Linked DNA regions of Callithrix jacchus. The protein of the gene in region 2 interacts with the protein of the main gene of each other region in a pairwise test. Links are inferred from orthologs where the notes say so. Each region holds a gene or a part of one and is shown on either strand. Other genes may lie near its edges. The genes, in order: MCM3 and MCM3AP.

The links.
Region 1: the proteins of MCM3AP (region 2) and MCM3 interact in a two-hybrid assay, tested with the Homo sapiens proteins (2 studies listed by BioGRID). The link is inferred for Callithrix jacchus from reciprocal best matches to the Homo sapiens genes MCM3AP and MCM3.

What each region holds. Positions count from the first base shown.
Region 1 is NC_133505.1:60,617,133-60,633,308, reverse strand, and holds the start of MCM3 (DNA replication licensing factor MCM3), read left to right. Parts: upstream 1-6,387; 5' UTR 6,388-6,504; coding exon 6,505-6,582; intron 6,583-7,811; coding exon 7,812-7,924; intron 7,925-8,334; coding exon 8,335-8,543; intron 8,544-9,020; coding exon 9,021-9,151; intron 9,152-11,832; coding exon 11,833-12,071; intron 12,072-12,582; coding exon 12,583-12,691; intron 12,692-14,600; coding exon 14,601-14,754; intron 14,755-15,097; coding exon 15,098-15,229; intron 15,230-15,817; coding exon 15,818-16,026; intron 16,027-16,176. UniProt on the Homo sapiens protein: Acts as a component of the MCM2-7 complex (MCM complex) which is the replicative helicase essential for 'once per cell cycle' DNA replication initiation and elongation in eukaryotic cells.
Region 2 is NC_133522.1:51,860,613-51,876,688, forward strand, and holds the start of MCM3AP (germinal-center associated nuclear protein), read right to left. Parts: upstream 14,588-16,076; 5' UTR 14,485-14,587; intron 14,130-14,484; exon of another isoform or gene 14,079-14,129; intron 13,491-14,078; 5' UTR 13,400-13,490; coding exon 12,178-13,399; intron 11,635-12,177; coding exon 11,411-11,634; intron 9,389-11,410; coding exon 9,310-9,388; intron 8,958-9,309; coding exon 8,813-8,957; intron 6,759-8,812; coding exon 6,568-6,758; intron 3,316-6,567; coding exon 3,176-3,315; intron 1,198-3,175; coding exon 1,000-1,197; intron 127-999; coding exon 1-126. Other genes in the region: endoribonuclease YbeY, read left to right, coding at 15,199-15,408.

The DNA.
Region 1 (16,176 bases), on a different chromosome or scaffold from region 2:
AACCTTAACATATTCATTTTTTTTTGCTGTTTTTTGAGACAGTCTCACTCTGTCTCCCAAGTTGGAATGCAGTGGTGCAATCTTGGCTCATTGCAACTTCTGCCTCTCTGGTTCAAGTGATTCTCCTGCTTCAGCCTTCTGAGTAGCTGGGACTACAGGCGTGTGCCACCACACCTGGCTAATTTTTTCTACAGATAAGGTTTTGCCATGTTGGTCAGTCTGGTCTCAAACTTCTGACCCAGGTGATCCACCTGCCTTGGCCTCTCAAAATGTTGAGATTATAGGCGTAGCCACCGTGCCCAGCTCTCATTTGTTCTTAAATGCTATTTGATATCATAATAAAGATCTGGGTTCAAATCCTATCCCTGCCCCTTGCTAGTACAGAATTCTGAGATCTTTTATACTTTAGTTTTCTCACTTGTAAAATGAGGATTAAAATTAACCACTTCACAAGGTGAGGTAAAAATTAAATGAGATTTTATGGTTTATAAAGTGCTTAGCAAAGTGTCTGGCACATAGTACATGCTCAATGAATGGTTACTCTTTTTTTTTTTTTTTGAGACAGAGTCTTTCTCTGTCGTCCAGGCTGGAGTGCGGTAGCATGATCTTGGCTCCCTGCAACCTCCATCTCCCGGGTTCAAGTGATTCTACTGCCTCAGCCTTCCGAGTATCTGGGATTACAGGCATGCAGCATCATGCCTGGCTAATTTTGTATTTTTAGTAGAGACGGGGTTTCTCCATGTTGGTTAGGTTGGTCTTGATCTCCCATTCTCAGGCGATCTGCCTGCCTTGGCCTCCCAAAGTGCTGGGATTACAGGCATGAGCCACCGTGCCTGGCCCTTTTGTATCTTTTAAAATGTGGCTACTGTAAAACTTGAGTAATATATGCATCTCACATTATATTTCTATCGGGCAGCATTGATCTAAAAAAGTCTGTTCCAGAACAGAATTAGGTATACAGATGCTAAACTAATACTTGATTGGTTGGTATGACTAAAGCTCTTCATCATTTTTAAAAACATTTATTTATTTATTCCCCTACAATGCCGATATACATCATTTTGTTACATTAAGGCACTGTATCTTTAAAAATGCATGCTTACAACAAATCTAGACAAATTTACAAAATGGAGTTATTATTTGAGCATTTCATATGCTGTATTCATGTTCGCTCAATATGTTTTTTTTTTTTTTTAGATGGAGTTTCACTCTTGTTGCCCAGGCTGGAGTGCAATGGCTCATTCTCGGCTCACCACAATCTCCGCCTCCTGGGTTCAAACGATTCTCCTGTCTCAGCCTCCCAAGTAGCTGGGATTACAGGTATGTGCCACCATGCCCGGCTAATTTTTTTTGTATTTAGTAGAGACAGAGTTTCACCATGTTGGCCAGTATGGTCTCGATCTCTTGACCTCGTGATCCACCCACCTCGGCCTCCCAAAGTGCTGGGATTACAGGCGTGAGCCACCGCGCCTGGCTACTCAATTCACTTTTAGTAATTTCCTTCTGTAAATCTCTGTGGCTCTAAGCACTGAAGTAAAGCTCTTCAGAGCATCACTAAAGACTTGTACAATTAAGACTGGGGTCTGGGCATGTTGGCTCACACCAAGGTGGGAGGATCATTTGAGGCCAGGAGTTTGAGACCATTCTGAGCAGCATAATGAGAACCCATCTCTCAGGATAAAAAAAAAAAAAAAAAAAAAAAAAAAAGAATGGAGATGACATCTCAGGGAACTAAGAAATCAGATTACTGAAATTAACCTTGGCAAATACCAACAAACTGCTAATTGTTGGCAAGCCAACTGTGTTGTTACATTTAATGGGAAAATCAGGATCAATTATTTTCTCTGTCTGGCTCCTGGATTTTCCTGCTCTTTTTAGCATATCTAACCAGGCCTCCAGGAAGCAACAAATGAATGCAAAAGGGAGACATGAAAGGTGATCAGGCTCTTTATTCACTTATTTATTTTTAAGACGGAGTTCACTCTTGTCACCCAGGCTGGAGTGCAATGGTGTGACGTTGACTCAATGCAACCTCTGTCTCCTGGGTTCAAGCGATTATCCTGCTTCAGCCTTCTGAGTAGCTGAGATTACAGGTGCCTGCCACCACGACTAGCTAATTTTTTGTATTTTTGGTAGAGATGGGGTTTCTCCATGTTGGCCAGGTTGGTCTTAAACTCCTGACCTCAAGTGATCCACCTTAGCCTCCCAAAGTGCTGGGATTACAGGTGTGAGCCACCAACTGTACCTGGCCGATCAGACACTTTTAAAAGAGTTTTCTAAAAAAGTCCATTAAGTATTCCATAATGTTCCTTGAGCATGGAGTAAATGCATCTGATGGCTTCCAACACTGGTAGAATCAGAGCCAAACAATAACCTGCCTATGTCATTTTTTTGGCCAATTGGACTTCCAGCAGAAAAAGGTCTCATTCACGAAGTGTCTGGATTGGTTGTGTTATAAGTTTTTTGGTGGAAGTGGGAAGGGGGCTTGAATTCAGTTGTCTGAATTGTTCCAGAATACACTACAGTGCTTGCTCCCCTTCTCCTATCCGTTGACTCCTCTCCAACTACCATCCACCACCACTATCAATAGTTAACATTTATGTAATGCTTAATAAATACCTGACACCTTTTTCAGTATTTTACATCTGTTATGACTTCACTGGATACTTAAACCTTTATTTGAGCGAGATATTACTAACCTAATTTGAAAGGTGAAAAACTGAGACACAGAGTAAGATGTATCTGTATATATGGCACAGATAATATACAGAGCAGCCAGAAAGAGTACCAAATCTGCCTGTCTTGGTGCTTGACACTCTAGATGCCATAGCATCTGAAGATTCTGATCTCACACTGTGGAACTGCTAGTTTAGGGCAAGCCTGTGCCTGCAGATGATTCCTTGAGCTGCTGTGACACCTGGAGGCATAGATTTTCTCACCTCCAAGCTTTGGTGGTTTCTGAGTAAATGTCAAATGGCTACTAATGAATTATGGCACTTTCCTGAGTACCTAAACAGGTTATCAATCACAGGGTATTATTTGAAATGTTTTGCAACATATAATGTTCATTGGTTTGAACAAAGGTATATATAATTTCGTGTCAGTAATATGTATTATGGATTTGTATTGTGCCTTTGGGTATTTTTTGGACCCTGTGGACCTAGAAGAATGGAAGTATTACATCTATTTTGCAATCTCTTTGCAATCTTGTTTTCTTTTTACTGTCATCCTTTATATTCTGCTCTCCAGGGAGCCCCCTAGTGTTTAGGTAGCCTTGGAGATGGGCTTGAGTCCATCAAAGTGTAAGGTGGACTCACGCCTGTAATCCCAGGACTTTGAGAGGCTGAGGTGGGCGGATCACGAGGTCAAGAGTTTGAGACCATCCTGGACAACATAGTGAAACCCCATCTCTACTAAAAATACAAAAATTAGCCGGGCGTGGTGGCACGCGCCTGTGGTCCTGGCTACTCCGGAGGCTGAGGCAGAAGAATTGCTTGAACCCAGGAGGCGGAGGTTGCGGTGAGCTGAGACTGAGCCACTGCACTCCAGCCTGGTGACAGAGCAAGACTCCAGCTCAAAAAAAAAAAAAAAAAAAAAAAAAAATCTAGGGTGGAAAGAAAATTGAAACTGAGGAAAGCAGGAATGTGACCCAAGTATGGAAACTAGATATACTACTTTATTAGGTGATATGTGCTTTTTAATTTTGAATCAGGATAGAGGAAGGCCACGGGGTAAGCTCAGCTTGACTCTATATGAGATATGTTCAAATGCCCTAATTACTCTGCAGCAACAACCTGATTGGTTTTGGGCAGTTTGTAGGTATGGGGGATCCAAAGGAAACACATTTCCTCTGTTTAAAGATTTCATGCCTGGCCGGGCGCGGTGGCTCACGCCTATAATCACTTTGGGAGGCTGAGGCGGGTGGATCACGAGGTTAAGAGATTGAGACCATACTAGTCAACGTGATGAAACCCCCGACTCTACTAAAAATACAAAAAAAAATTAGCTGGGCATGGTAGTGCACGCCTGTAGTCCCAGCTACCTGGGAGGCTGAGGCAGGAGAATTGCTTGAACCCAGGAGGCGGAGGTTGCGGTGAGCCGAGATTGCGCCATTGCACTCCAGCCTGGGTAACAAGAGCGAAACTCTGTCTCAAAAAAAAAAAAGATTTCATGCCCTAATGAAAGAAGGGAGAAACACCAATTAAATACAGGTGTGTCCTTCACAACTGAAGATGATGACATTAGGACAAATCAAGTCTTTATCAAAGACCATGGCATAATTAATTCATTAAATAGAATTGTCATTACATAGTTTCCAAATTTGCCATTAGCTCATGGAATGTTAGAGTAAGCCATATTATCAGAGATATTCTACTTCAGTTTCTTCATCTTATACTGTATATAAGGAAACCAGCCCAGAAAAAAGTGGAGAATAAAAGATATGGTTTTCAGATTTCCACTCCTTCAGACTTTCCACTGCAAATTACTTGACTTCTCTTCTAGTTTGAACTAAGCTTCCCGGTTCTTTTAGTATTAATTTCAAATTGTTTCCAGAGCAGAGTTTATCTCAGTACTGTGTCCAATAAATTCATAAGAGTTATGATCAAGTGATAAAAAGTCTTAAGTAAATCAGCAATTACTTCTTGCTATATAACTGCAAACAGGATCTTTATTCTAGATTTTTTCTTTTTTTTTTTGCCCATTAATATACACAAAAGCAAGCAGTCAAATAGCCTTTTTGCTTTGGCTAAGGATAGATTTATCTGCCTACTAGGATGGCACAAAACATGTAATAACTACAAATTGCATAACTAGAAATACATATACCCACACAGATAGATGGCATATATATTTCGTTTAGGCAGATTATTCTTAGAATATTTATCGGTACATAGTGAGTCCTGAAGACTTTCAAACACAAGCTAATTATCAGTTGGCTGAAATTTCAGATAACAAGTTATCAACTGTCTGGTGTTGGGCAATCTGGTATTTTAGCTTCTTGTTCAGTAAAATTAAAAACATATGCTGGGGCAATGGGCATGCTCTTTACTGTGTAGAGTGGTTACATGGGTGTTAACAGGTAAAAATTCATTGAGCTGAAGATTTGTGCATTTTACTGTATATAGATTATACCTCAAAATAAAACTAAAAAATAATAAAAACCCGACGAGGACGGACTAAAAACTAACATACAAATTTGGATATGCAATGATCTTTTAATGATTACAACCATTTAACCATTGATTTTTAATCAAAGGCGGCATGAAACACTATTTCCCCCTTTGTGTTGATCATTCAGTAAGCTAAGTTGCTTAATAGGATCCTGTTATCTTTTTTTTTTTTTGAGACGGAGTTACGCTCTTGTTACCCAGGCCGGAGTGCAATGGCGCGATCTCGGCTCACCGCAACCTCCGCCTCCTGGGTTCAGGCAATTCTCCTGCCTCAGCCTCCTGAGTAGCTGGGATTATAGGCACCATGCCCAGCTAATTTTTGCATTTTTAGTAGAGACGGGGTTTCACCATGTTGACCAGGATGGTCTCGATCTCTTGACCTCGTGATCCACCCGCCTCAGCCTCCCAAAGTGCTGGGATTACAGGCTTGAGCCACCGCGCCCGGCCGGATCCTGTTATCTTTTTATAAGACCAGAAAGTCTTTAATTTACCCGTTACTAAATCAGAGGGAGTAGTAACTGTTTCCAGAATTTGTATAACACAGGCTGCGGTCTCTAAGGGGCGTGGTAAATACCGAATTTTTTTGTTCACTTCATCATCCTCCGCTGCCTCATGTCTTTATGGGGTTCTTCAGGCCACGGTTATCAGACAGCAAATAGGTCAACTAAATAATCTTTCCCTAAGATGCTATAGTTCTATATTCTATTCTATAGATTCTCAAAATCCACTTTTCCACTAGGATGCCCCTTGAGGGCAGTTCTGATTTGGATACATCTTAAAAATTATTTTTAAAAAATGTTATAAACCACCATCCTCTGACGTTTTGTTTACTTTCAAGGAAAGTCCTACTGCTAGCCAGAATTTGGTCACTGCCTCGGGTCAAAACTTTTGCAGCTTGAAAAGACCCTGCAAAATATCCGGGAAAGAGGGAGAACGCTCCTAGAACGCAGCGCTTTCCTTGTCTCCAGGCCGCGCCCTCCAGCTACCCAATGACCGGCCTCCGTGAACCTCCTCTCGGCCCTATTGGTTAGTTTGCTAGTCAGTGAGGCGGGTGGAGGTGGGAGGGGAGGAACCTAGAATCCCGGATGGTACGTTTCCCTCCACCGGGAGGCGCCCAGCGGAAACCCGGAGAAGAATAAGCTTTTGATTGGACAGTTGCTATTCTGGCGTCAGAGAATTCAGCCAATCATAATGTTTATATGCTCCCAGGGTCCCCGCCTCTTCCTCTAGGTAACTTTTGGTGGCGGGAAAAGTTCGTAAGTTTCCCGTGGGGGTGGAGTGATCCTTGGAACCTCCGCGCTGCTTTGGTAGAGTTAGTTCTTCGGCGGCGGGCATGGCAGGTACCGTGGTGCTGGACGATGTGGAGCTGCGGGAGGCCCAGAGAGATTACCTGGACTTCCTGGATGATGAGGTGAGGGAGGCGCAGGCGCGCGGGCTCTAGCGCTCGGAGTCCATGCGGACGCGGCCCGGCCAGGCCCGCCAGACCTCCAGACCGTGTGCTTTTCCGGAGCCTGCCGGCCCGAGCCTCCCGCCCCAATCTTGTAGTTCTCTCGCTGAACTTGCTAGTTTGTGTTCCATAAGCGAACTCTCAGGAAGCGATCCTTTAACTTTGTCCTGAGTACAAGCGATGTTCCGGGCGCGCGAAAGGCGACAGGTTCCCATTAAGTGCAAGCAGAATGGCAAACCCCCACCTTGGCCTTTTGCACTTCACTCCCAGCTCTCTCTTGATTTGGGGAGATTGCGGGCTAGGGAATGAATGCCCTAGGGCTGTAGTGATCAGCCGCGTTGCAGGGTGCTCAGATTTTAGGGACTGACTTTTTACCTGGAGAAAAAGACTTCCTAATTCGGCTGCACTGTTTTTCAGTACCAACTAAGATGCAGATAAAAAGTGTTTTGTATGCAGGCTAAGGGGATTTCATGTGCAACCCAAGACTTAAAGCCGTAAATGTTGAAAAACCATTCTGAAGGGTTGATGATGTAACCAGATAGCAGAGATTCTCTATTTTAGGCAAGGAACACTTGCTGTGTTACAGAAATGATAGGGAAAAATATTACTTCTGTACATAATTCTTAAGTGAAAAGCCATCTCAATGTGAATATTAAGAGTGTTTAATTTACATTTTTATTGTGTACAAAATGTACAAATATATACACTTAAATTTGTATGCTACATATAAATATAGCATACATTGATAATGTATACATTGATATACATAGTGAAATGTGTTAATGTATACTATATACAGTGTGCAAATTAACATATCCATCTGTTCACATTGTTACGTTTTACGTTTACTTACATTTTAACAAAGTTTGCATTTATTGTCCTTTTAGACTTTTCATGAGCTCATTTTAATTCTTCACTAAAGACAGAAATGACAGCATGCAGAAAAGTTGTCCATGAGGATGGGAATAACAGCATGGACCTTGAGGAAGTCATTATAATTCTTACAGTTCCCTCTTAGGGTGTATTTCAAATCTGAAAATAGTGAATGAAAGGGAAACATTGATGAGCATATACTTGGGATTCAGCTCTGCTGCAGTGATTAATGTAGTTATCTGGCTATGAGAACTGTGTCTGTTAGAAACAATTTGTTTTTGAATTTGTGGCTATTGTGATATGTGGTGGCTGTTTTGCAGGAAGACCAGGGAATTTATCAGAGCAAAGTTCGGGAGCTGATCAGTGAGAACCAATACCGGCTGATTGTCAATGTGAATGACCTGCGCAGGAAAAACGAGAAGAGGGCTAACCGGTGAGTGGCAAGGGGATATAATGGTCCCCAATGAGAATGGCTCCCTTCCCTCCAGATTGGAACAGCCTCCCAGGAGAGGACATGTATGAAACAGGATTGATCTAGAAGCCTTCATAGCTCACCTGCATCTATTTATTTTTCTTCCAAAAAGTAGGTGGTTGGCATTTTCCTCCCAAATACCCTCCTTCCAATGCTTAGCTGAGTATGATTTTTATATATTTGATAAGTTGAATTAAAGTTGGTCCTTAGTTCTGGTATTCTGCTGAGTCTTATAGGATGGCAGGAGAAAGCAGAAGCTGGATTGTCTCATTGTTCTTAATGATTCAAGAATAGTTGCTGTTTTGAGAATGCATTTTTTAAAATAGTTCTGCCCTGTCTCCCTAATTTTTCTCTCTCTTGTCCATGTACAGGCTCCTGAACAATGCCTTTGAGGAGCTGGTTGCCTTCCAGCGGGCCTTAAAGGATTTTGTGGCTTCCATTGATGCTACCTATGCGAAGCAGTATGAGGAGTTCTACATAGGATTGGAGGGCAGCTTTGGCTCCAAGCACGTCTCCCCGCGGACTCTTACCTCTTGTTTCCTCAGCTGTGTGGTCTGTGTGGAGGGCATTGTCACTAAATGTAAGTGGATTAAAGGGGGCCACTAAGGAAATGAAGGTAGAATAGACTGAAGGAGATGGGGAAAGCAGGAAGGGCAAGGTAGATCTGGGTAGCTTGTGGCTTCAAAGAAGTGGAGCATTGGAATTATGTGGTAAAACTTCGAGAGGCTCAGTGCACAATGTTTAGGGGGATCTTGAGTAACCACTTGAGTTAGTAGAATGATGAATTCTGCTGAATGCTGGAGGAGTCTTGGTTCGTGGCAATCTCTTATCTCAACCCCTAACTCTACCTATTAGTTGGAATTGGTAGTACTTAAACTTTTACATGGATATGGTGGTGGTCTATATATAAATAAAAAGTGAATAAAAGGTAATATTGAAATAGGTTAATCCTGTCAAAAGAACACAGTGTTTGGAGTCATCATAGGCTTACATAGGTTTGGGTCCCACCTGTGTCATTGTCTAGTTGGGTGACTTTATGCACATTTTTCATTCGTAGGTTCTCTAGTTCGTCCCAAAGTCGTCCGCAGTGTCCACTACTGTCCTGCTACTAAGAAGACCATAGAACGACGTTACTCTGATCTCACCACCCTGGTGGCCTTTCCCTCCAGCTCTGTCTATCCCACTAAGGTAGGGGGGATACATTCAGCCTTCTTGGGGGTTGGAGTCAAAGATTCCAAAGGCAAGGAATTGTGTAATATTTGAAGTCTTTTTTCTATAAAGGGTGAAAAAACAAGGACTAATCCAAAGGAAAGATTGATTGCAGGCCAGAGTTTAATATGAAAATCTCACAATTCTTACTTGTTTATTTTTAAAGATGAGGTCCTCCTATGTTGCCTCGGCTGGGGTGCAGTGGCTATTCACAGGTGTAATCATGGTGCACTAAATTCTCAAACTCCTAGGCCAAGTGATCTTCCTGAGTAGTTGGGATTACAGGTATGTGCTACGACACCTGGCTTCCTAATTCTTATTTTTTTTTAGAGATAGGATCTCAGTCTCTCAGGCTGGAGTGCAGTGGTATGATTATAGGTCACTGCAGCCTCAAACTCCTGGACTCAAGGAATCCTCCCACCTTAGCCTCCTGAGTACCTGGGATTGTGGGCATGCACCGCCATGCTAATTTTTTTCACTTTTTATAGATGTGGGATCTCACTATGTTGCCCAGGCTAGCCTTGAAGTCCTAGCCTCAAGTAATCCTCCTGTTTGCATCTTCCAAAGTATTGAGATTATAGACATGAACCATCATGTCCAGCCACAGCTCTTCTTATTTTTTTAAGAAGACACTTGTTCACTTTAGAAAATTATGGAGTAGTCATCTACATAGATGTTTTAACAAAGTTATAATCAAATAATTTTATGATCTGCTTTTTAAAAAGTAGAAAAATAATGCTAGACTGTTAGGTAATCTTTACAAATATTTTGTTGTGGGTTTGGGAGAAGGCTGGCATAGGAAAAAGCTTTCTTTATTCTTAGTGTTCAGATTGATCTGGATTGAGGACAATGCAAGGCTTTCCTCAGGAGACAAAAGATCGTTCATATTGATTACTTGATGTCTGAAATCATTCTATCAGAGAATTCCTCTCCTCCTCTCATCAAATTTTAATTGAGAAGTACTGTATTCAAAGCACTGTTAAGCCCTGTGGAGGACAAGGATATAAATTAGACCAGTCCTCATCATCAGTCTTCGAAGTGGTGGAGAAATGAAACATATAAACAAAAACAAGAATGAATATCTTAGAATTATCATACCTTAAACATACATTAGCATCATTTAGTCTACCTCCAGATGAAATGCTGAGATCAGAGAAGTTAAATGATTCGCTTATTGTCCCAGTTAGTGATGGCCTTAAGGACTAGGACCTGTGTCTCTTTAGTATCTTTTTTTTTTTTTGAGATAGAGTCTAGCTCTTGTTGCCCAGGCTAGAGTACAGTGGCCTGATCTTAGCTCATTGCAATCTTCACTTCCTGTGTTCAAGCGATTCTTCTGCCTCAGCCTCCTGAGTAGCTGGGATTGCAGGTGCCTGCCACCCCAGCTGGCTAATTTTTGTACTTTTAGTAGAGATGGGGGTTTCACCATGTTAGCCAGGCTGATCTCGAACTTTTGACCTCAGGTGATCTGCCCACCCTTGGCCTCCCAAAGTGCTGGGATTACGGGCATGATCCACTGTACCCAGCCTGCCAGTTGTATTTTCTAAGTCATTCTGATGTCTTTGGACCTTAAGGTGTCCACTTTTCTAGAATTTCCTCTTTAGGAAATACTCAGGGAGTACTCCTTTGTTGATTACTGTGGCCAAGCTTCTTTGTTCAAAAAGTGAAATACATTGGATCAGATATTCTGGAGGTTGTTTAGGCTGGTGCTTAAGAATGTGGGCTTTGGAGTTCACATTTGTGTCTAGTCCAGACTCTGCTACTTAACTGTGTTACCTGGGGGAACTTCTTTCATCTCTCTAGTATCCTGGTTTCCTTGTCCATGATGTGTGAAAAATACTTTCTTTATAAAGTTGTGAAAATTACATGAGATAATTTTGTGAAGTAGTAGCACAGTGCCTGGCACATAGCAAGCACTCAATAAGTGACAACTGTTTTTAGAAAATTCAAATGTCAAGGAAGTAAAACTTTAATAGACATATAGAAAAGCTCACATAAGTATGGTTTGATGACGTTTTACAAGCTGAGTATATCTGTGTAACCAGCATCCAAATGAGGAAATGAAACATTAGCACTCAAAAGTCCGTCTTGAGGGCTCATGTTACCCAAGAGTAACCACTATTCTGATGTTTTAACAGCATAGATTACTTTTGCCTGTTTTTCTGTTGTATTTAAATACTCTTGTGTTGGGCTTCTTTTGCTCAACATTGTGTTTATGAGCAACTTTGTGTTTATGAGATTTATCCATGTTGCGGATAGGTGTTTTTCATACATTTTTATTGCTATATAGTATTCATTTATGCAAATATACTGTGTTTATTTAACCGTTATACTATTGATGGCATTTTAAAATTGTAAAATATTTGACTATTAGGCATAATGCTGCTACGAGCATTATAGTTTATGATTTTGGGTGAATATTTCTGTTCGGTATTACTTAGGAGTGAAAAAACTGCTTCAGAATCTAAGCATATATTCAGCTTTAGAGGGGAAGTAAGAATCTTAATTTAGATGTTAATATAACCTAGTCCATTCAGACTAGGGGTTGCCCCTTCCATTCAACGATTTATGACTAAAACAGACAGGAACAGAAAAAGCTAGAGAAGGTGGCATTTTTAAGACAGGACTGAGATCACTCTACCCCTCTGTGTGTCTTTTTCTAGGATGAGGAGAACAATCCCCTTGAGACAGAATATGGCCTGTCTGTTTACAAGGATCACCAGACCGTTACCATCCAGGAGATGCCGGAGAAGGCCCCAGCCGGCCAGCTCCCCCGCTCTGTGGATGTCATTCTGGATGATGACTTGGTGGATAAAGTGAAGCCTGGTGACCGAGTTCAGGTGGTGGGAACCTACCGTTGCCTTCCTGGAAAGAAGGGAGGCTATACCTCTGGGACCTTCAGGTAAAAGGTCTGCCTTAAAGTGTATGGAATGCTGTTGACAGCTTCTATTTCTGGTAATATCCTTTCTTCAGTTTGCTGTATTACAGATTACAACAGAGAGTTGTATCTGTGAGATGGAGCGCTCTCTCTGTCTGGGAGACAGGATACCTTCAGTACCTTTTTTCTGTCAGATAAAGCTGGTGATACTTACCATCATATGCCAAAAATAAGACTTATTTGTGACAATGATTATAGTCTTCATGGCTTTCCTGGGAGTTTCTCATGTAATTATACTTAGTCCCCATACACAGTGTCTGAAGCTCTGTTGGTCAATTTCAGAGGAGGGGCATGATCAGCATATTTGGGTCACAGACAGAACCAGTTGTTTAATTCACAAGTTACCCCCCACCCAATCAACTCTGATCTGCTGGTCTAGTTTGGTAGCCTAAAAAGGCTTACTCTTGCTGGGGTACTAGCTACCGATGTTAGGAATTGAATATAATAGCCTTCCTCTTTATTCTCTTTGTCCCAGGACTGTCCTGATTGCCTGTAATGTGAAGCAGATGAGCAAGGACGCTCAGCCTTCTTTCTCTGCTGAGGATATAGCCAAGATCAAGAAGTTCAGTAAAACCCGATCCAAGGTCTGGGCATTCATTTTGTTTTTTTTGAGACAGAGTCTTACTCTGTTGCCAGGCACCAGGTTGGAGTGCAGTGGCAAGGTCTCGGCTCACTGCAACCTCCGCCTCCTGGGTTCAAGCAATTCTCCTGCCTCAGCCTCCCAAGTAGCTGGGACTACAGGTGCACTCCACCATGCCCAGCTAATTTTTGTATTTAAGTAGAGACGAGGTTTCACCATGTTGGCCAGGATGGTCTTGATCTCTTCACCTTGTGATGCTCCCGCCTTGGCCTCCCAAAGTGCTGGGATTATAGGCGTGAGCCACCGTGCCCGGCTGGTCTGGGCATTCTTTAATATTTGAGGGTGGGAATGGATTTCTAAGAGTTGTGTTTTGGTGCATGGCTGTTTTTGTACTAGATCAGAAGGAAGGGTTGAAGTTTTTTTCTCTAAAGTATTTGGTGTTAGCTTCTTCTATTTTTGTCCCAATCAACAAGTGAAAGGGTGTTTTTGCTGTTTGCTCTTTAATCATTCTTTGTTATTAAACAGAATTTTAATACCTGCTACCTGTTGGGCTGCTAAATGAGCCTAATACAAATATTAGGATAGAAGTTAACTTATCAGTTAATAAATAGTGTACCAATAAGTAATAAATAGTGTACCAATTCAGTAATAGTGTACCAATTCAGTAATAGTGTACCAATAAGTAATAGTGTACCAATAAGTAATAAATAGTGTACCAATAAGTAATAAATAGTGTACCAATTCAGTAATAGTGTACCAATTCAGTAATAAATAGTGTACCAATAAGTAATAAATAGTGTACCAATAAGTAATAAATAGTGTACCAATAAGTAAATAGTGTACCAATAAGTAATAGTGTACCAATTCAGTAATAGTGTACCAATAAGTAATAGTGTACCAATAAGTAATAGTGTACCAATAAGTAATAAATAGTGTACCAATAAGTAAATAGTGTACCAATAAGTAATAAATAGTGTACCAATTCAGTAATAGTGTACCAATAAGTAATAAATAGTGTACCAATAAGTAATAAATAGTGTACCAATTCAGTAATAGTGTACCAATAAGTAATAAATAGTGTACTAATAAGTAATAGTGTACCAATAAGTAATAAATAGTGTACCAATTCAGTAATAGTGTACCAATAAGTAATAAATAGTGTACCAATTTAGTAATAAATAGTGTACCAATTCAGTAATAGTGTACCAGTAAGTAATAGTGTACCAATTTAGTAATAAATAGTGTACCAATTCAGTAATAGTGTACCAATAAGTAATAAATAGTGTACCAATAAGTAATAAATAGTGTACCAATAAGTAATAAATAGTGTACCAATTCAGTAACAGTGTACCAATAAGTAATAGTGTACCAATTCAGTAATAAATAGTGTACCAATAAGTAATAAATAGTGTACCAATAAGTAATAAATAGTGTACCAATTCAGTAATAGTGTACCAATAAGTCTATTTATTACTGAAGACATTAGTGATGCATTACTAAAATTAAACATTTTTTCTTTGTTTTAGTTCTTCAACTTGTTTTTCTTTTTAAAGATAGGATGTATACCCACATTTAGAATTGAACTACATATATGAATGTGTGATGATAAAGGTTACCGCTCAAGCATAGTACATATTCTTATTAAACCTAAAATGTTTTGAACCTGGGGCTGCTTTTTTTCCCTTGAAGATTAAACCTCTAAACAGGTTTCAGAATCCAGGCTGCCTCTGTGCCTACTCTGATAATGGCCCGATAATGTGATTTGTCTTAGAGCAGAAGCTTTTGCACTTAGGAACAATGTACATGTTTGTATATTTCTTCAAGTATTTTCTGTAGGCCAAAGTATATGAAGTGGAGCTCCACAAAGTTCCATTGAATTTCACTAGGCTTGCCATTGGTTATTTCTCCTGTAGGATATCTTTGACCAGCTGGCCAGGTCATTGGCCCCTAGTATCCATGGGCATGACTATGTCAAGAAAGCAATCCTCTGCTTGCTCTTGGGAGGGGTGGAACGAGACCTAGAAAATGGCAGCCACATCCGTGGGGACATCAATATTCTTCTAATAGGTACGATGTTGGAGATCTGCTTTAGACTCTTGTTTTTTTGGAATATGGTTTTAGAGACCTATAATATGTAAGATTGTATATTCTGTATTTGGCAGTATTTCAGTCCTATCAAAGGAAAAAAGGCTAAAGTGAATCTTTTTATTTTTAAATTGTGTCTGGAATTCCTGATTTATAGTATATAAAATATATTCTTCCATGAATGGTAAAGGGAAAAGTGAAGGAAATATTTTTGAAAGCCAATTACCATATGACTCTGTTGTGTCAAGAGCTGTGCTAGAAAGGCCGAACTTGCTGGGGTTGCTGGGGAGTTTCCTAGCAAGTCATCACTGCCCCTACCCTACAGGAGACCCATCGGTTGCCAAGTCTCAGCTTCTGCGGTACGTGCTTTGCACTGCACCCCGGGCTATCCCCACCACTGGCCGGGGCTCCTCTGGAGTGGGTCTGACAGCTGCTGTCACCACAGACCAGGAAACAGGTAAGGGTGTAAGGGTCCTTGGCAAAGGCCCAGCAAAGAAACTGAGCATAGATCCATTGTGTGCCCCTGCCTGTGTTCTGAAAATACATTCGAGAGGTTATTTGGTGCATGATTGTAGAGGACTGAGTATTCAGCAATGATGGATGATTTATTCAAGTCTTTGGTGTTCATCTATTTACAGGAATGTTTTTTATTTGAAAGGAGAAAGGCTTAGCACATTAGAAAGGCAATAAAAATGAAGATTGTACTATTTTATGAACTAGAAGAAGGGATTTGGAGACCAGTTAAGAGAGAGCAGAGGTCTAGCTGGGATATTACTTGAGGATGATGCTGATGAGAGAATCTATAAAGGAAATTTGTGAGAAGTTAGTTACTTAAGGGTCAAAGTGGGACAAAAAGATGCTAATATTTAGGTTTGAGCTGAAAAGGTGACCCACCAGGGTTCCCTTTAAGTTTCTTGGAGCCAAGACACCTTTGCTGAATTCTTAATTGTAAAGTGAGAGATTCCTAGGAATGAGATTCAAATCCCTTGCTTCTGGCCCCTATAACCTAGACTATGGCACATATGTTTACCTTTTCACTTCCCAGGGGAGCGCCGTCTAGAAGCGGGGGCCATGGTCCTGGCTGACCGAGGCGTGGTTTGCATTGATGAATTTGACAAAATGTCTGACATGGATCGCACAGCCATCCATGAAGTGATGGAGCAGGGTCGAGTGACCATCGCCAAGGCTGGCATCCATGCTCGGCTGAATGCCCGCTGCAGTGTTTTGGCAGCTGCCAACCCTGTCTACGGCAGGGTAAGTGGAATCAGGCCCCAATCATTGTCCTCACCTTCATTTGGTTTTGCTAACTGGGCCAAGAAGTGTATTCTAGATGACCCGGGGGAATAGTAGGGCAAAGACTAAAGTAAGGTCATTTTCTTGTTACCGTCCTTTGTTTAGAGCAGT
Region 2 (16,076 bases):
GATCTTAGCATCAAAGGAAGACATAGGCTCCTCACACATGAAGTGGGCACAGTGGATGTGAAATCGGGTGCACTTCTCAATCAGGGACACCGTCAGCGGGTCACAGAGGTGCTGCTGCGTGATATCCTGGCCACAGGCGAGGGGGAGGATCATACACACATTCCCATGCAGAGAGTCAGCTATGAGAAAGATCATGCTATGACCTCAATTTCTCACATTTCAATATGAAACGAAGCCCATGATGCACGTTTTAATAGACTTTGTAGTGATTTGAATAAAAGTACTTGTTTTTTCTTGAGACAGGGTCTTGCTGTCACCCAGGCTGGAGTGCAGTGGTGCGGTCTTGGCTCACCACAACCTCCCCCTCCCGGATTCAAGCAATTCTCCTGGCTCAGCCTCTTGAGTAGCTGGCACTTTATAGGTGTGTACCACCATACCCGGCTAATTTCTTTTTTTTTTTTTTGAGACAGAGTCTAGCTCTGTCATCCAAGCTGGAATACAGTGGCATGACCTCAGCTCACTGCAACCTCCACCTCCCAGGTTCAAGTGATTCTCCTGCCTCAGCCTCCTCAGCAGCTGGGATTGCAGGTGCCTACCACCACACACGGCTAATTTTTTGTAGAGATGGGTTTTCACTGTGTTGGCCTGGCTGTTCTCGAACTCCTGACCTCGTGAACCGCCCACCACGGCCTTCCAAAGTGCTGGGATTACAGCCATGAGCCACCATACCTAGCCACACCCAGCTAATTTTTGTATTTTCAGTAGAGACTGGGATTCACCATGTTGGCCAGGCTGGTCTCAAACTTATGACCTCAGGTGATCCACCCACCTCGGCCTCCAAGAGTGCTGGGATTACAGGTGTGAGCCACTGCACCCTGCCCATGAAGGTATACTTTTATTACAGATAAAATACGTAACTGAGTAAAATAATAAAAACTATCAGTGTGACTTTGAAATTTGCATGCATTTTTTAGTGTCCAGGTTGGAAGCCGCCTATACCTTCCGTATGCCACGTGTGCGGTTCCAAACGAAGTCGTACCAGTCCCGCAGGCTGCCCTCCTTCTGATCCATGATCTGGGTCACCAGGTAATCCATAGTCCTGCTGAGCACTGCCAAGGGCCGCAGCTCGTGGGGCAGAGGCTCCTCCTGATCAGCTGAGGACCGGCTGTACTCTTTCACGGCTGCTGCATGGTCCACCTAGGGACACAAAGCAGAGATGGGCTGCCCATGAGAAACATCTTGGGCCAGGCACGCTTATGCCTGAAAATGAGGGAAAATCACATACATGCCCACACAGATCAATATTTGAGAACATAATTTTTTTTTTGAGAACACATTTTTTTCAACATAAATTTCTTTTAAAAAGTGACAGAATTCAAAGGCAAAATACATTGAGAAATTTGATTTGGCAAATACCACAAGGAGTTAAGACAGCAGTGTGTCATGACAAACGGGAGGAATGTAGATGAAGGCACATCTGCACGCGCCAAAGCAGAGACAGGACAGGGAAGGGCCTCAAAGCACTGAACAGGTCTCAGCGCTGCTCACACAGCAGCTGAAGTCTACACAGACCAGAAGTGAAACAGAGACAGGCAGTGAGGACTGTTGAGGGCACAGCAGGAGGGGCCAGCTGCTCATCTGGGGCCTGGAGCTGCATCTCCCACCTCAAAAGGAGGTTGACAACATGGCCAAGAGGAGACGCAGAGACATCCGCAGGATGAGGCCCTGAGCATGTACTTTCTCCTGCAGCAGGGGCCCCACACCTGCTGCTGGTCTGGGGACACTGCACTGGGTGAAGGGTGTATAAAGCCACCAGCCAGAAAGAGAAAGAGAAGCCCACAAGCAAAATTCACAAAGTGCAAAGGATCTAAATTGGTGCAGCTTCCTAGGGAAGCAACTGGGGAAGATACACGGATAATCTTCGGGAAAGGTCAAAGCCTCCAATGCAGTAATTTAATTCCTAGGGTCTGAACAAAGTAATCTCAACACCAGAGAAACACACAAGACGCCAACTCATGTTATTCAAAGAACTAACAATTTACAAACAGCCTATGACAGAGCTACTGATAAAATGTGCTGTCATTTCTACATGCTCGTAGTTCAGCATAACAAAAGAAAATGTTCATGACATAATTTTAAGTGGGAAAGATACACATAAAATTATATCCAGAATATATTCCTGAATGTGCAAAACATAAGCATAGAAAAGGATAAGAATGATTGTAAAAAGAAAAAAGCTGAATGTGGTGGCTCACGCCTGTAATTTCAGCACTTTGGGAGGCGAAGGCAGGTGGATCACTTGAGCTTAGGTGTTCAAGACCAGCCTGGGCAACACGGCATGACCCCATTGCTACAAAAAAATAAAACAATAACTGGACATGGTGGACCATGCCTGTAATCCCAGCTACTCAGTAAGCTGAGTGGGAGGATCACCTGAGCCTGGGAAGTCGAGGCCACAGTGAGCCATCGTTGCACCGCTGCTCTCCAGCTAACGTGAAAGAATAAAGTCCTGTTTCTAAATGAATAAATATTTGAAAAACAACTCTATTTAAACAAACTTGCAGCAAGTCAGGCATGCTGGCTCATGTCTGTAATCCCAGCACTTTGGGAGGCCAAGGCAGGTGGATCACTTGAAGTCAGAAGTTCGAGACCAGCCTGACCAACGTGGAGAAACCCTGTCTCTACTAAAAACACAAAAGTTAGTGGGCATGGTGGTGCATGCCTATAATATCAGCTACTCAGGAGGCTGAGGCAGGAGAATCACTTGAACCTGGGAAGCAGAGGTTGTGGTGAGCTGAGATCGCGCCATTGCACTTCAACCTGGGCAATAAGAGTGAAACTCCGTCTCAAAAAAAAAAAAAAAAATTTAAAAAAAAAAAAAGAAAGAAAAAAGTGAAACTCTGGCTCAAAAAAAAAAAAAAATTAAAAGAAAAAAGTGAAACTCTGGCTCAAAAAAAAAAAAACTTGCCTCTATAACTTATCATGTATAGGTACCAACTACAGAGTGAACATCTCATGATGCAAAAGAGCTGAATATGACTGTTAATGGCACAGATACCCAATAGCCTCTAAAACAAGCAAACACCTCAATCCAGTATGCACAGAATTACAAAAAAAGCCTCCTCTGCACAGCCTGCCTCCAGCCTCCACTCCGCGGGGAGACGCAGGGCTTTACCTGGTCAGTCCCAGGGATCACTTCAAACACGCTCAGCTGGCTTCGGGTCTCCCGCATGTACCGCTCCTTCTCGGGACACATATCCAAGCAGGTCCCAACGAAAGTCCTCGCTTTGTCCAGATCGGTTCTTTTCACCCGCGCTAAATGACGTCAAGTAAAAGGTAAGAACGTACCACACAGTTAGCATAAACCTACAGAAGTATACGCTCATAATGATAAAAAGAACTTAAAACTTAAAACACACCCACATTACAAAGGAAAAGAAAAATATCTGTTAAACTGTGAGCCTCAGAGAAAGAGGGCTTAGGGTCTATTCTGTCAGGGAGTGGGACACCAAAGCTCCCAAAGAACCCTGGGTCTGCCGCTCTCCAGCAGTCACAGACCCTCACAGCAGACTCTCCAGGAGTCACAGACCCTCACAGCAGACTAAAAGCAGGGACACAGCCTCACTTTCAACCAAAGTTTTTAACTCCTGTCATAACCTGAATGACAGACTCTCATGGTGCAGGATGTTTACTAGAAGGATTGACTCGTTACAACTGCAAATATTCCAAATACTGGCTGGGCACGGTGGCTCACGCCTATAATCCCAGCACTCTGGGAGGCCGAGGCAGGCAGATCACGAGGTCAGGAGATCAAGATCATCCTGGCCAACATGATGGTGAAATCCCGTCTCAAAAAAAAAAAAAAAAAAACCCAGATGCAGTGGCTCATGCCTATAATCCCAGCACTTTGGGAGGCTGAGGCGGGTAGATCACCTGAGGTCAGGAGTTCAAGACCATCCTGGTCAACATGAGGAAACCCTGTCTCTACTAAAAAAAAAATTAAAAAATTAGCCGGGCATGGTGATGGGTGCCTATAATCCCAGCTTCTCGGGAGGCTGAGACAGGAGAGTCACCTGAACACATGAGGCAGAGGTTGCGGTGAGCTGAGATTGTTATCATTGCACTCCAGCCTGGGCAACAAGAGTGAAACTCTGTCTTAAAAAAAAAAAAAAAACAAATATACCACTACTCTAAAACTCTCAAACAGTATTCATCATGACTTGAATGTAAGAATCACATAATGGAAGTTAACTGGGTTCTTACCTGAATAAGTAAACTGCTATGATTACACTTAGAATTAAATAGTTACAAATGTATCTAGCAAGTAAAAAGAAATGCAACAACTTCACAACTCAAAATATATACTTCTTGTTTTTATTCTAAAAAGTTCTATAACCTGAGCTTGGTGTAGTAGTGGCTCACGCCTATAATCCCAGCACTTTAGGAGGCCAAGGTGGATGGATCACCTGAGGTTGGGAGTTGAAGACCAGCCTGACCAACATGGAGAAACTCTGTCTCTACTAAAATAACAAATTAGGTCCAGTGTGGTGGCTCACGCCTGTAATTCCAGCACTTTGGGAGGCTGGGGCAGGAGGATCACCAGAGGTCAGGAGTTTAAGACCAGCTTTGCCAACATGGTGAAACACCATCTCTATTAAATATACAAAAATTAGCCAGGCATGGTGGTGGGCACCTGCAATCCCAGCTACTCAGGAGGCTGAGGCAGGAGAATTGCTTGAACCCGGGAGGGGAAGGTTGCAGTGAGGTGTGATCACACAACTACACTCCAGCCTGAACAGCAAAGCAAGACTCCATATGAAAAAAAAATACAAAATTAGTCAGGCATGGTGACACATGCCTACAATCCCAGCTACCTAGCTACTTGGGAGGCTGAGACAAGAGAATCACTTGAACCAGAGAGGTGAAGGTTAGCCAAGTTCGCACCATTGCACCCAGCCTGGGCAACAAAAGTGAAACTTCGTCCCCTCCCCCCCCCCCAAGAAAAAGAAAAATTCTAATACCTGGTGTACCACAACTGTAATCCCAGTACTTTGGGAGGCCGAGGAGGGCAGATTGTGAGGTTAAGAGTTCGAGACCAGCCTGGCCTACATGATGAAACCCCATCTCTACTAAGAATACAAAAATGAGCTGGGTATGATTGTATGCACCTGTAGTCCCAACTACTTGGGAGGCTGAGGCAGGAGAATTGGTTGAACCCAGGAGACGGAGAATGCAGTGAGCCAAGATCGCACCACTGCACTCGAGCCAGGGCAACAGAGCAAGACTCCATCTCAGGAGGAAAAAAAGAGAAAGAAAAATTCTAATACCTAATGATTTTATTTGGAATATAAAAATCACTATATCAATGACACAATGTATGATGGCAGCTTTTGTTACCATATAGTAAGGAAACACTGTGATTATTCTAATTATCCACAACTTTTAAAAAAGGGATAGCTGAATTTTTTTTTTTTTTTTTTTGAGACAGAGTCTCACCCTGCAGCCCAGGCTGGAGTGCAGTGGACAATCTCAGTTCACTGTAACCTCTGCCTCGAGGGTTCAAGCAATTCTCCTGCCTCAGCCTCCCAAGTAGCTGGGACTACAGGTGCACACCACCGTACCTAGCTAATTTCTGTTTTTTGTTTTTTGTTTTTTTCGTAAAGACGGGTTTTTGCCATGTTGGGCAAGCTGGTCTTGAACTCCTGACCTCAGGTGGTCCACACGCCTCAGCCTCCCAAAGTGCTGGGATTACAGGTGTGAGCCACTGTGCCTGACCCAGCTGAAATTTAAGACAAAAAAATTGGCAAAGAGGAGTACCTGTGTTTTTCCTTTTATTTTTGTTCCCTGCATGTATTTTCAGTGTTAATGGAATACTTTCTTTTTAGTAGGTAATACATTCACACAGTTCAACATTCCAATAGGGTAAGGATGTCCTGTCCGAGATGGAACACTACACCATAACCTCTGCCCTTCAGAAACCCACTCTCTTGGCCAGGCGTGGTGGCTCATGCCTATAATCCCAGCACTTTGGGAGGTGGATGGATCACCTAAGGTCGGGAGTTCCAGACCAGCCTGGACAACATAGTGAAACCCTGTCTCTACTAAATATACAAAAAATTCGCTGGGCATGGTGGCACATGCCGGTAATCCCAGCTACTCAGGAGGCCGAGGGAAAAGAATAGCTTGAACCCAGGAAGGGAGGTTTCGGTGAGCTGAGATCGCACCATTGCACTCCAGCCTGGGCAATAAGAGCGAGACTCATTGAAAAAAAGAAAAAAAAAAAAAAAAAAAGAAACCTGCTCCCTCTATAGACATGAGCCTATCCTTTGCCTGCTCCCACTACTATTTTACACACACATAAGCAAACATATTTGAACCTATATGTACACACACACAGAGCACTCACTCCAAGGAAGACTGGCCAACCATGAAGCTCAGACACAGCACATCACAGGCCCTGAGGCTCAACAGCAACAAAGCCCAGTGGAAAGAAGCTGCTCCCACTCTGATGGCACCCAAGAGGACGCCCTCCCAGGCCCCCAGAACCTCTGCCACCATGCATCATACCTTGCCGCATGATCCTGTCTCTCTGGTCAAGCAGGCGGTACTTCTCCTTGGACGTCTCAGCCACGGTGCCTATCAGGGCGCTGAGGGGGGGCACACATGGCCCAAGGCCCTCGGAGCCCTCAGAGCCTGAGTCAAAGGAGTCTCCCTCAAATTGGTGGGCCTTTAGGAGACTTGGCTTCTTCACTGGAGAGCTATAAAGTAAACACCACATTGAGGGCCCTTGTACCGGTAAGGCCTTTAGAGAATTTTCATTTCTGAATATATCCTCTCATCTTTCAAGATCTTCTGGTTCTCTGAAGTTGAGAAACTACAAGCACTAAAATGAGGGGTCTTGATAAAGATGGTGATAAGCACAAAAGTGTTATTCACATTATTCACTGACCTTAACATAATTTTGAAATATTTCATACTTTTGAAAAATAAAGATAGCCTGGGCAACATAGTGAGACCTCATCTCTACAAAAAACTGAAAAATTAGTCAGGCATCTGGCATGTGCCTATAGTCCCAGCTACTCAGGAGGCTGGGGTGAGAGGCTTGCTTCAGTCTGGCAGGCGGAGGGTGCAGCGAGCTGAAATTGCACTGCTGCACTCCAGCCTGGGCAACAGAGCAAGACTCCATCCTTACCACCCCTCCAAAAAAACAAGACAGGCTCACACAGCTGAAAGGAACACTTACAGATAGAAATGAAACTCGCATGAAAAACACCTTTAATATAAGTATTATGCCTACGTGTTTTAAAACAGAAATTTATTTTGGTCTAAGGACATACTGAAAGGAATTGGGCATCCTCTCTCAGCTTCCCCATTTTCTGGCTTTCATCATTTTCTAAACTTGAATGTCAAAGCAGCACCTAAACTGTTCATCACAAAATGGGAAGTGAGAAAAATACATTGGCCAAAAGATAAAAAGACAGATTAAGCTGGAAACCTGTCAGAGTAGGCCTGGTGTGAAAAGGAAAAGCCTTTCAGAACAAGACAGCCAGGGGAGCGCACATCACACGCCAGCTCACACAACTAACATGGCCAACAGCATCTGTTTCACTGTGATAACCTGTACCTACAAAAAGTCATGCTGTCCTTCCTGTAGGAGACAGATTTTTAGTGGGGTGGGGGGAAGTCATGCTGGAAACTGCTGGAAGTAATTATTAAAAATGCACGGTGTGGCCAGGTGGGTGGCTCACACCTGTAGTCGGGAGTTCGAGACTAGCCTGGCCAACACAGTAAAACCCTGTCTCTACAAAAAAAACACAAAAATATTAGCCAGCATGGTGGAGCACCTGTAATCCCAGCTACTAGGGAGGCTGAGGCAGGAGAACTTCTTGGAACACAAGAGGCAGAGGTTGCAGTGAGCCAAGACTGCACCACCAAACTCTAGCGTGGGCAACAAAGACTCCCATCTCAAAAAAAAAAAAAAGAGGCCGGGTGCAGTGGCTCATGCCTGTAATCCCAGCACTTTGGGAGGCTAAGGCGAGTGGATCACCTGAGGTCAGGAGTTCGAGACCAGCCTGGCCAACATGGAGAGACCCCGTCTCTATTTAATAAAAATTAAACAAAAAAAAGAATGCATGGTTTATTACAGCCAGTTAGATGTCTTAAGGAAAAAAGTTATTGCTTATACGTTTACATGCCAAGTGGAACTGCACTCAACTGCAGTGGAATTCAGGACAAGTAAGGTGAGCGAGGAGATCTGCTACTACACCTTGTGAGGCAGGCAGCCACAGGGTGCCAGGCTGCAAGTGTCTGTCCCACAGAGCTGGCACTGTGTGTCCTAAGTGAGCAGCCTCCCCCGTTCTCCTGTGATAGCTGCTGTAGCTGAAAGGCCTTCACCAGCTACAGCAACTGTATGACGAGATTCTCCCATAGAAAATGCCGAGATGGAAACAAAAAAAAAAAGGCCAGCCCCAAAGGAAGGCTTTCTCAGCAACCTTGACCCTAGGGTATGTGAGAACAAGACAGGACAGTATCACTGCTCTCCACCTTCTCTGCAGCTGGCAGGTACCAGCGTCAGAAAATTCTCTCTCCTGGCTGGGAGCACCAGACCCACACAGACCCACCTCCACATGGCCCATTCTGGCTGGAGGGGCAGGCTCAGGAACCCCTGCCACTCGACCCCCAAGCATCCCTGACAACTGGCTCTTGTTTCCTTACACCCCCCCCCCAACCCTGCAGCCCCAACTCAGGTGTCACTGTAGGGCAGTATTTCCTGGTCCTTCCCAAATAAGGTCATTAGGAGGGGCCATCCCACCTTTTATTCAGCAGGCTGCTAGCACCAGCCCTCCCTGCAGCCTTGCCAAGAGGAGAGTGCTGAAACGGAGTGTCTTCCGGGCTCGGGCTGACTACAGCATCGCCAGGCTTCTTCTCCTTCAGGGAAAAGGGTTTCTTATTGGGGCCTGAGAACATATGAGGCAGAAAAGTTTATGCAATCACAGATCACCTGGTACTGGACTTTTTCACTTTGTTTTTGAGAAAGTAATATTCTTGTCATTGTCACAGGAGGTCAGAGAAGAGCCCGAGGAAATAACTGTGAAATGAAAATCCAGGCAGAGCCAGCCTCCCCCACTGGCTGGAGAAAGGGCCCACACTCCAAGGGTTTGTACAGAGCAAGAGAAACTGAAGAGAGGGCCACGCCACACACAGCGGCTCATGCCTGTAATCCCAGATCAGCCTGGGCAATGTAGTGAGATCTCATCTCTATTAAATTAATAAAAATACTTTTCTAAAAATTGAGAATTGAAAACTCACTTATTTTCTTCCTGTGCCAAAAGATCGCCATGTCTTTATGCAAACTTTTCCCCTTCTTTCTAGCCAGGGCTGCAGATGCCTAGAAAACAACCGCCAAGTGTAAGTACATCAGGAGACTAAAGGAAATGAGACTGAAAACTCAAATGCAGTGAGCAAAACGTCCATTCAATAGCACCAGGAGCCCCTGTCCTCTGTTCACCAGTGATACCTCCATCCCCCATCTGCTGCCTGCAGAGCCTTCAGCTGTGGCCGCAGAAGTCCACCTCCCTTACCTGTCTCACAAGCATCTATTTGCTCTGCTCTTTTTTTTAAATTAACAACTTTGCCTCAGAGAACTCACAAACTTGGCCTCTTCGGCATTTGCTGAGATGATTCTCACCAGCTAATTACATATACAGAAACAAATTTTTCGAAGTCATAATGAAGCATAAAAGAGAGCTGCAGAATAACACACCGAGATGCCATTTATCACAAAAAAGACACAAAACCAACCACATCTTAGTCTCCTTGTAGATACTCATAAAAATGTCTAGAAAAACACACACTACAGTAGGAGACTGGACTGCTCTTGGTAACAGGAGAGATGAGGGTATTCAGCTTTGTCTGTACCAATGAACTGCCTATAAAAGCAATGTATTTACATGTTAGCTCATAAAATATTTAATGTTCAGCTGGGAAAATGAGCACATTACAACAGGCAAAAAATGACTTTAAAAACAAATGAGAGGGCTAGACATGGTGGCTCATGCCTGTAATCCCAGCACTTTGGGAGGTCAAGGTGCATGGACCACTAAGGCCAGGAGTTCGAGACTAGCCTGACCAACATGGCGAAATCCTGTCTCCACTAAAAATACAAAAATTAGCCAGGCATGGTGGTGCACACACAATCCCAGCTACTTGGCAGGCTGAGGCAGGAAGAATCACTTGATCCCAGGAGACAGAGGTTGCAGTGAACCAAGATCGTGCCACTGCACTCCAGCCCGGGCAACACAGCGAGACTGTCTCAAAAAAAGAAACAAAAGCAACAACAACAAAAGGACTATGTAGTTAGAGCTACTCCAAAGCCTTTCGGAAGAACTTCACTTTACTCTGTAGTTAGAGCTACCCCAAAGCCTTTCGGAAGAACTTCACTTTACTCTGTAGTTAGAGCTACCCCAAAGCCTTTCGGAAGAACTTCACTTTACTCTGTAGTTAGAGCTACCCCAAAGCCTTTCGGAAGAACTTCACTTTACTCTGTAGTTAGAGCTACCCCAGAGCCTTTCAGAAGAACTTCACTTCATGGGAACAACTCTCCCAGCATTTCTAGAGCACTGTATTCTGCAGGGACATGGAATACCCCAAGTTATGAAATAAATAGTGCTATCCCAGCCTATCTTAAGAATAAGATACTTGGCTGGGCATGGTGGCTCACGCATCTTAATCCCAGCACTATGGGAGGCCAAAGTGGGTGGATCTCAAGATCAGGTGTTCAAGACTAGCCTAATCAATATAATGAAACACTGTCTCTACTACAAATAAATTAGCCAGGCATGGTGGCAGGTGCCTGTAATCCCAGCCACTCAGGAGGCTGAGGCAAGAAAATCACTTGAACCTGGGAAGTGGAGGTTGCAGTGAGCCAAGATCTTGCCACTGCACTCCAGCCAGGGCAACATGCAAGACCCCGTGTCAAAAAAAGAAGAATAAGATATTTCAGGCTGGGTGAAGTGGCTCACACCTGTAATCCCAGCACTTTGGGAGGCCAAGGTGGGCAGATCACCTGTCACCTGACCAACATGGAGAAACCCCATTTCTACTTAAAAAAAATACAAAACTAGCAGGACATGGTGGTGCATGCCTGTAATCACAGCTACTCGGGAGGCTGAGGCAGGAGAATTGCTTGAACCCAGGAGGCAGAGGTTTCAGTGAGCCAACATTGTGCCACTGTACTCCAGCCTGGACAACAATAGCGAAACTCCATCTCAAAAAAAAAAAATAATAATAAGATATTTAATTTCCCAATATTAAATAACTGATAAACCATGATGCCCCCCCCCCAAAAAAAACAAGTTTTACAGTGCCGTAGTTGAAATCTAGGGTAACACGGCAATACGGAAACACTCACATGATCAAAGAAATGTATCACTGCGAGCTTTTTGCTGCGCCTGGTGAAGATGCGCTGCACCTTGGCGATTTTGCCGAAATGGTTCTCCAGGACGGTTCTGCTGTTCAGGTAGTCAGGGATGTTCTTGCACTGGATTGCTGTGACTTCAGAGGGAGACAAGCCCCCAAGACTATCTGTGCTCTGGCTTCTTTTACTCTGATGCACAGGAGTTCCTCTTAAAGAATCTAGGGGTTCAGAGAATAGACACTTAAACCATCATATGTAACGCTAACAACAGGAGGCACCAACTGTGTAAAAGCAAAGGAAATGTTCACAGGTATAAGACCTGCTCCATACGACATGTAGCGTCCCTAACTTTTTTTTGTTTGTTTTGAGACAAAGTCTCGCCCTGTTGCCCAGGCTGGAGTGCAGTGGTGCGATCTTGGCACACTGCAACCTTTGCCTCCTGGGTTCAAGTGATTCTCCTGCCTTAGCCTCCAGAGTAGCTGGGATTACAGGTGCCCGCCACCACACCAGGCTAATTTTGGTATTTTTAGTAGAGGCGGGGTTTCACCATGTTGGCCAGGCTGGTCCTGAACTCTTGACCTCGTGATCCACCCACTTCAGCCTCCCAAAGTGCTGAGATTTTAAGCATGAGCCACCGCGCCCAGTCCAGAATCCCTAATGTTTATGGGAGACTTATCTGAAAAATCAAGCTAACACCCAGAGAGACTTATTGGGAAACTGCCAGCAGAATTTACACTATGTTCCACATTTTCAGAACTCACCTTCTTTTTTCTCTCTACTTTCAGTTTCTTCCTCTTTATTCAAACCTGGAATCCGGGAAGGTGCCAGGAGAGACTGACTCCCTCCTGGGGTAGCCATGTGGTCACTTTCTCCAGACTCAACAAAGCCAATGTCCTTTTTGGACTCCTTGCTGCCCAGGCGACCTACTTCTTTATTGCTTTTGAAAACATCCTGTATCGTCCGACCAAACAAAGTACCTCCCCGGGGTCTATTCAGGCGGACAGGTCGTTTATCTGGAGGATGATCCCCCCTGGACAGAGGATCAGAATCTTCTGCTATCTCATGGCCATGTCTCCTTGGGGAACGATCCTGGTCCTCCTTCCTTTTCAGGCCTTTCATTAGGCTGGGAGGTGGTTCCCCTTGGGAAACAGCTTCTTCACAGCCCTGCCTGACACCTGCTTTGCTGACCTGAAAGGGTTCACCCAAAACTGCAGCTGACGACACAGGGAAGCTACTGAAGCTATTATTAGAACTTCCAAAAACTGACTTAGGTCCTCTCTTCTCTTCCTCTACATTTGGGTTTGACAAAGCAGGGGTAAAAGCAGATAAGGAATTACTACTACTAACTGGTTTTGAAAAGGTAAAATTCGAGTTGGCAGCTGAACTACTTGTTACTTGAGGAAAAGAGAAAGGGGTCAGGCCTCCAGGTGCACTACTAATTGGGTGGGAAAATGTGAAAAACCCAGAAGCAATTTGGCTCTGGGTTTTCTCTGGCTCAGCATCAGTCCCCAATATTGGTTTGAACACTGCGTTTTCCAGAGGTTTAAAGCCGAATTCTGTTTTCCCAAAACCAGAACTCACTATGTCTCCAGCTTCTTGTCCAAAAGTAGAAGTGCTTGGGAAAGCCCCCACACTGGTGGGTGATTTAAAACTAAATCCTGGGTTTCCCAGCACAGATGAACTTGAAGGCCCAGAGGTAGCTACAAAGGTGGATGTGTGGTCAAGTCCAGAAAAGAGTCCAACAGTTGAGGTTTGGGTGAACCCTAATGTTTGCACTGAAGAGGAATGACTTACTCCAGGAGATGCTGGAAAGCTGGATAGCTGTGAAAATCCTGAGCTCTTCCCACATAAGGTACTGTTTTGTCCAAAAAGAGGTTGACCAAATCGAAACGGTGCCTTGGATGGGAATGCTGTTATGGAACTACTAGAAGATGCTGAAAAAGCACTAGGCTGCTGCCCACTGAAAGGATTAGTTGGGTTCATCTTCTGATCCAATTATTAGAAGGTAATAAGTATTACGTGTACGAAATTAATTGGCTTTCTGAAACAGTCTCCCCTTCCTCTTCATAACAAGCTGAAAGACAGAAGTTCAGATCATCACAGCTACGTTCTGCTACAAAATTAAGAGAGGAACTTTTGAACAAAGTCACGTAAAGATAACTATTTTCAAAGGACTATTATTTTCTGAGAGCCAATGGGTTCTTTTGTTGGAGGATGGCGTAGAGAGCGGTACAAATAATTACTTTGTTACAGAGGTTTAAAGCGTGATCCTTTAAGATTAAAAAAAAAAAAAAAGGCCGGGCGCGGTGGCTCATGCCTGTAATCCAGCACTTTGGGAGGCCGAGGAGGGTGGATCACGAGGTCAAGAGATCGAGACCATCCTGGTCAACATGGTGAAACCCCCGTCTCTACTAAAAATACAAAAATTAGTTGGACATGGTGGCGCGTGCCTGTAATCCCAGCTACTCGGGAGGCTCAGGCAGGAGAATTGCCTGAACCCAGGAGGCGGAGGTTGCGGTGAGCCGAGATCGCGCCATTGCACTCCAGCCTGGGTAACAAGAGAAACTCCGTCTCAAAAAAAAAAAAAAGCCACATCACTGCGTTGGTAAATTCATTAAAAACCTCCACTGGCAATAAGAAAATGAATGCTGTTCCTCCTTACGACTTAGAGATGAATCTCTCCCGAGTGCCTCCACTCGCTACAGCCGGAGAACTGGAATGTAACGCAGTCAGAACGTTAGCGTTTCGGGGTCTCCTCCCACCCGGCTTCCCTCAGGGCGGCTGGAGCGTTAAGCCCGTCTTCACGCATCCCTTTACCTCGCCCTGGCAACCCCCCCGCCCCCGGGGCGCTGCCACGGAGCTGCGGCCTGTCGGCGGGGACGGCGTGCCCGGGAAGCCTAATCTTCCACCCAGCACAGCCCGAAAAGGCGGAGGCCGCAGTCCCCGGGCTCGTCTAGGGCCGCCGACGACGCAACGCTCCCTTAGCGATAATGGGGAGGGCCCGGCGCGCGGAGCTGCGCGGGGGAAGGAAGCGTCGTCTCCGGCGCCTGCCCAACCCCCACGCTCACCGTCTCGCCGCTGGACCCCGGGGCCCGCGCAGCTCCCGGACCCCTACAAAGGACGAGAGGCGCAAGCCCCCAGCCTGTGGCCGCGACGCCTCCACTGCGCACTGGGGACGGAAAACGCGGCGGACCGACTTCCGGCTCGCGCAGCACTACCGGGTTCCGCCGCGATCGGCTTCCGCTCTCGGCACCCTGCTAGGCGGCGGAGCTTCCGGTGGGGCGGGTGCGCCCCACCTTGTACCGCGACCTTTGCCGGGTCTGGAGCCCGGTACGTGCGGGCGGGTTCCTAGTCTCCCAAACGGGAGCGTCCCACTCATCCGCGTGGGTCCGCAGGCTCCCCAGACCCCAGAGGACCCCACCCCACACGCTCACCTGTCTCCCCTCCTGTCCCTCCCCCATTCCATCCCCTTCCCTCCCCACCTCGCGGCGTTCGCGCGCACCGCCCACCCGCCCCGTCTCCGGGAACGGCTCCCCCCCCCTCGAGTCCTTCCGGCCTGACTCCGCGTCTTCCTTCCATGGCCCCTGGTTTTTGTTCTCCTGTGGTAAATGCAAATTCCCGTAAGATTTTCAGTCACTTCCACCAAATAAAGTGATTTGATTGCGTGCGCATGAGTTTTTTTACAGAATGTGCCGTCACTTTCTTGTACTGACTGGTCTTCTCTTACACTTTCACCCAGGTTCCGTGGGAAACATTTTTAAGGGCCGGTTGTTCTTCCTGAAATGAGCTTGGTGATTAGAAATCTGCAGCGAGTCATCCCCATCAGGAGAGCGCCACTTCGCAGTAAGATCGAGATTGTACGGAGGATTTTAGGAGTGCAGGAATTTGACCTGGGGATCGTCTGCGTTGACAACAAGACGATTCAGCACATTAATAGAATCTACAGAGATAGAAATGTCCCAACCGATGTGCTTTCTTTTCCATTTCATGAGGTAAAAGTACATTTCCTGTATTTTTTTTTTTTTTTTTTTAATGAGAGGTAGTCTTATTCTGTCACCCAGGCTGGGGTGCAGTGGTGCCATCTCGGCTCACTGCAACCTCCCCTGCCTGGGTTCAGGCAATTCTCGTGCCTCAACCTCCCTGGTACCTGGGACTACAGGCTCGAGCCACCACACCCAGCTAATTTTTTGTTGTTGTTGTTTTGTACGTTTAGTAGACACAGGGGTTTTACCATGTTGGCCAAGCTACTCTTGAATTCCTGATCTGGCCTTCCCAAAGTGTTGGGATTACAAGTGTGAGCCATAGTGCCCAGCGTAAATTTCCTGTATTAATTATATTGCAGGCTAGGCTCTACGGCACATATAAGTATATATATTACAGACGTGATTTTTCATTTTAATTTTGGAAATTTTCAAATAGACACGAAAGTAGAGAGAACAGTATGTTCAGCCTCCATTGATCGATGCCCGTCACCCAAAGGCCACAATTACCCTGGTAAGCCAGCAGGAAAAAGAAAAGTGACTGCCAGGCGCAGTGGCTCATACCTGTAATCCCAGCACTTTAGGAGGCCAAGGTGGGTGGATCACCTGAGATGAGGAGTGTGAGATCAGCCTGGCCAACATGGTGAAACCCTGTCTCTACTAAAAATACAAAAAATTAG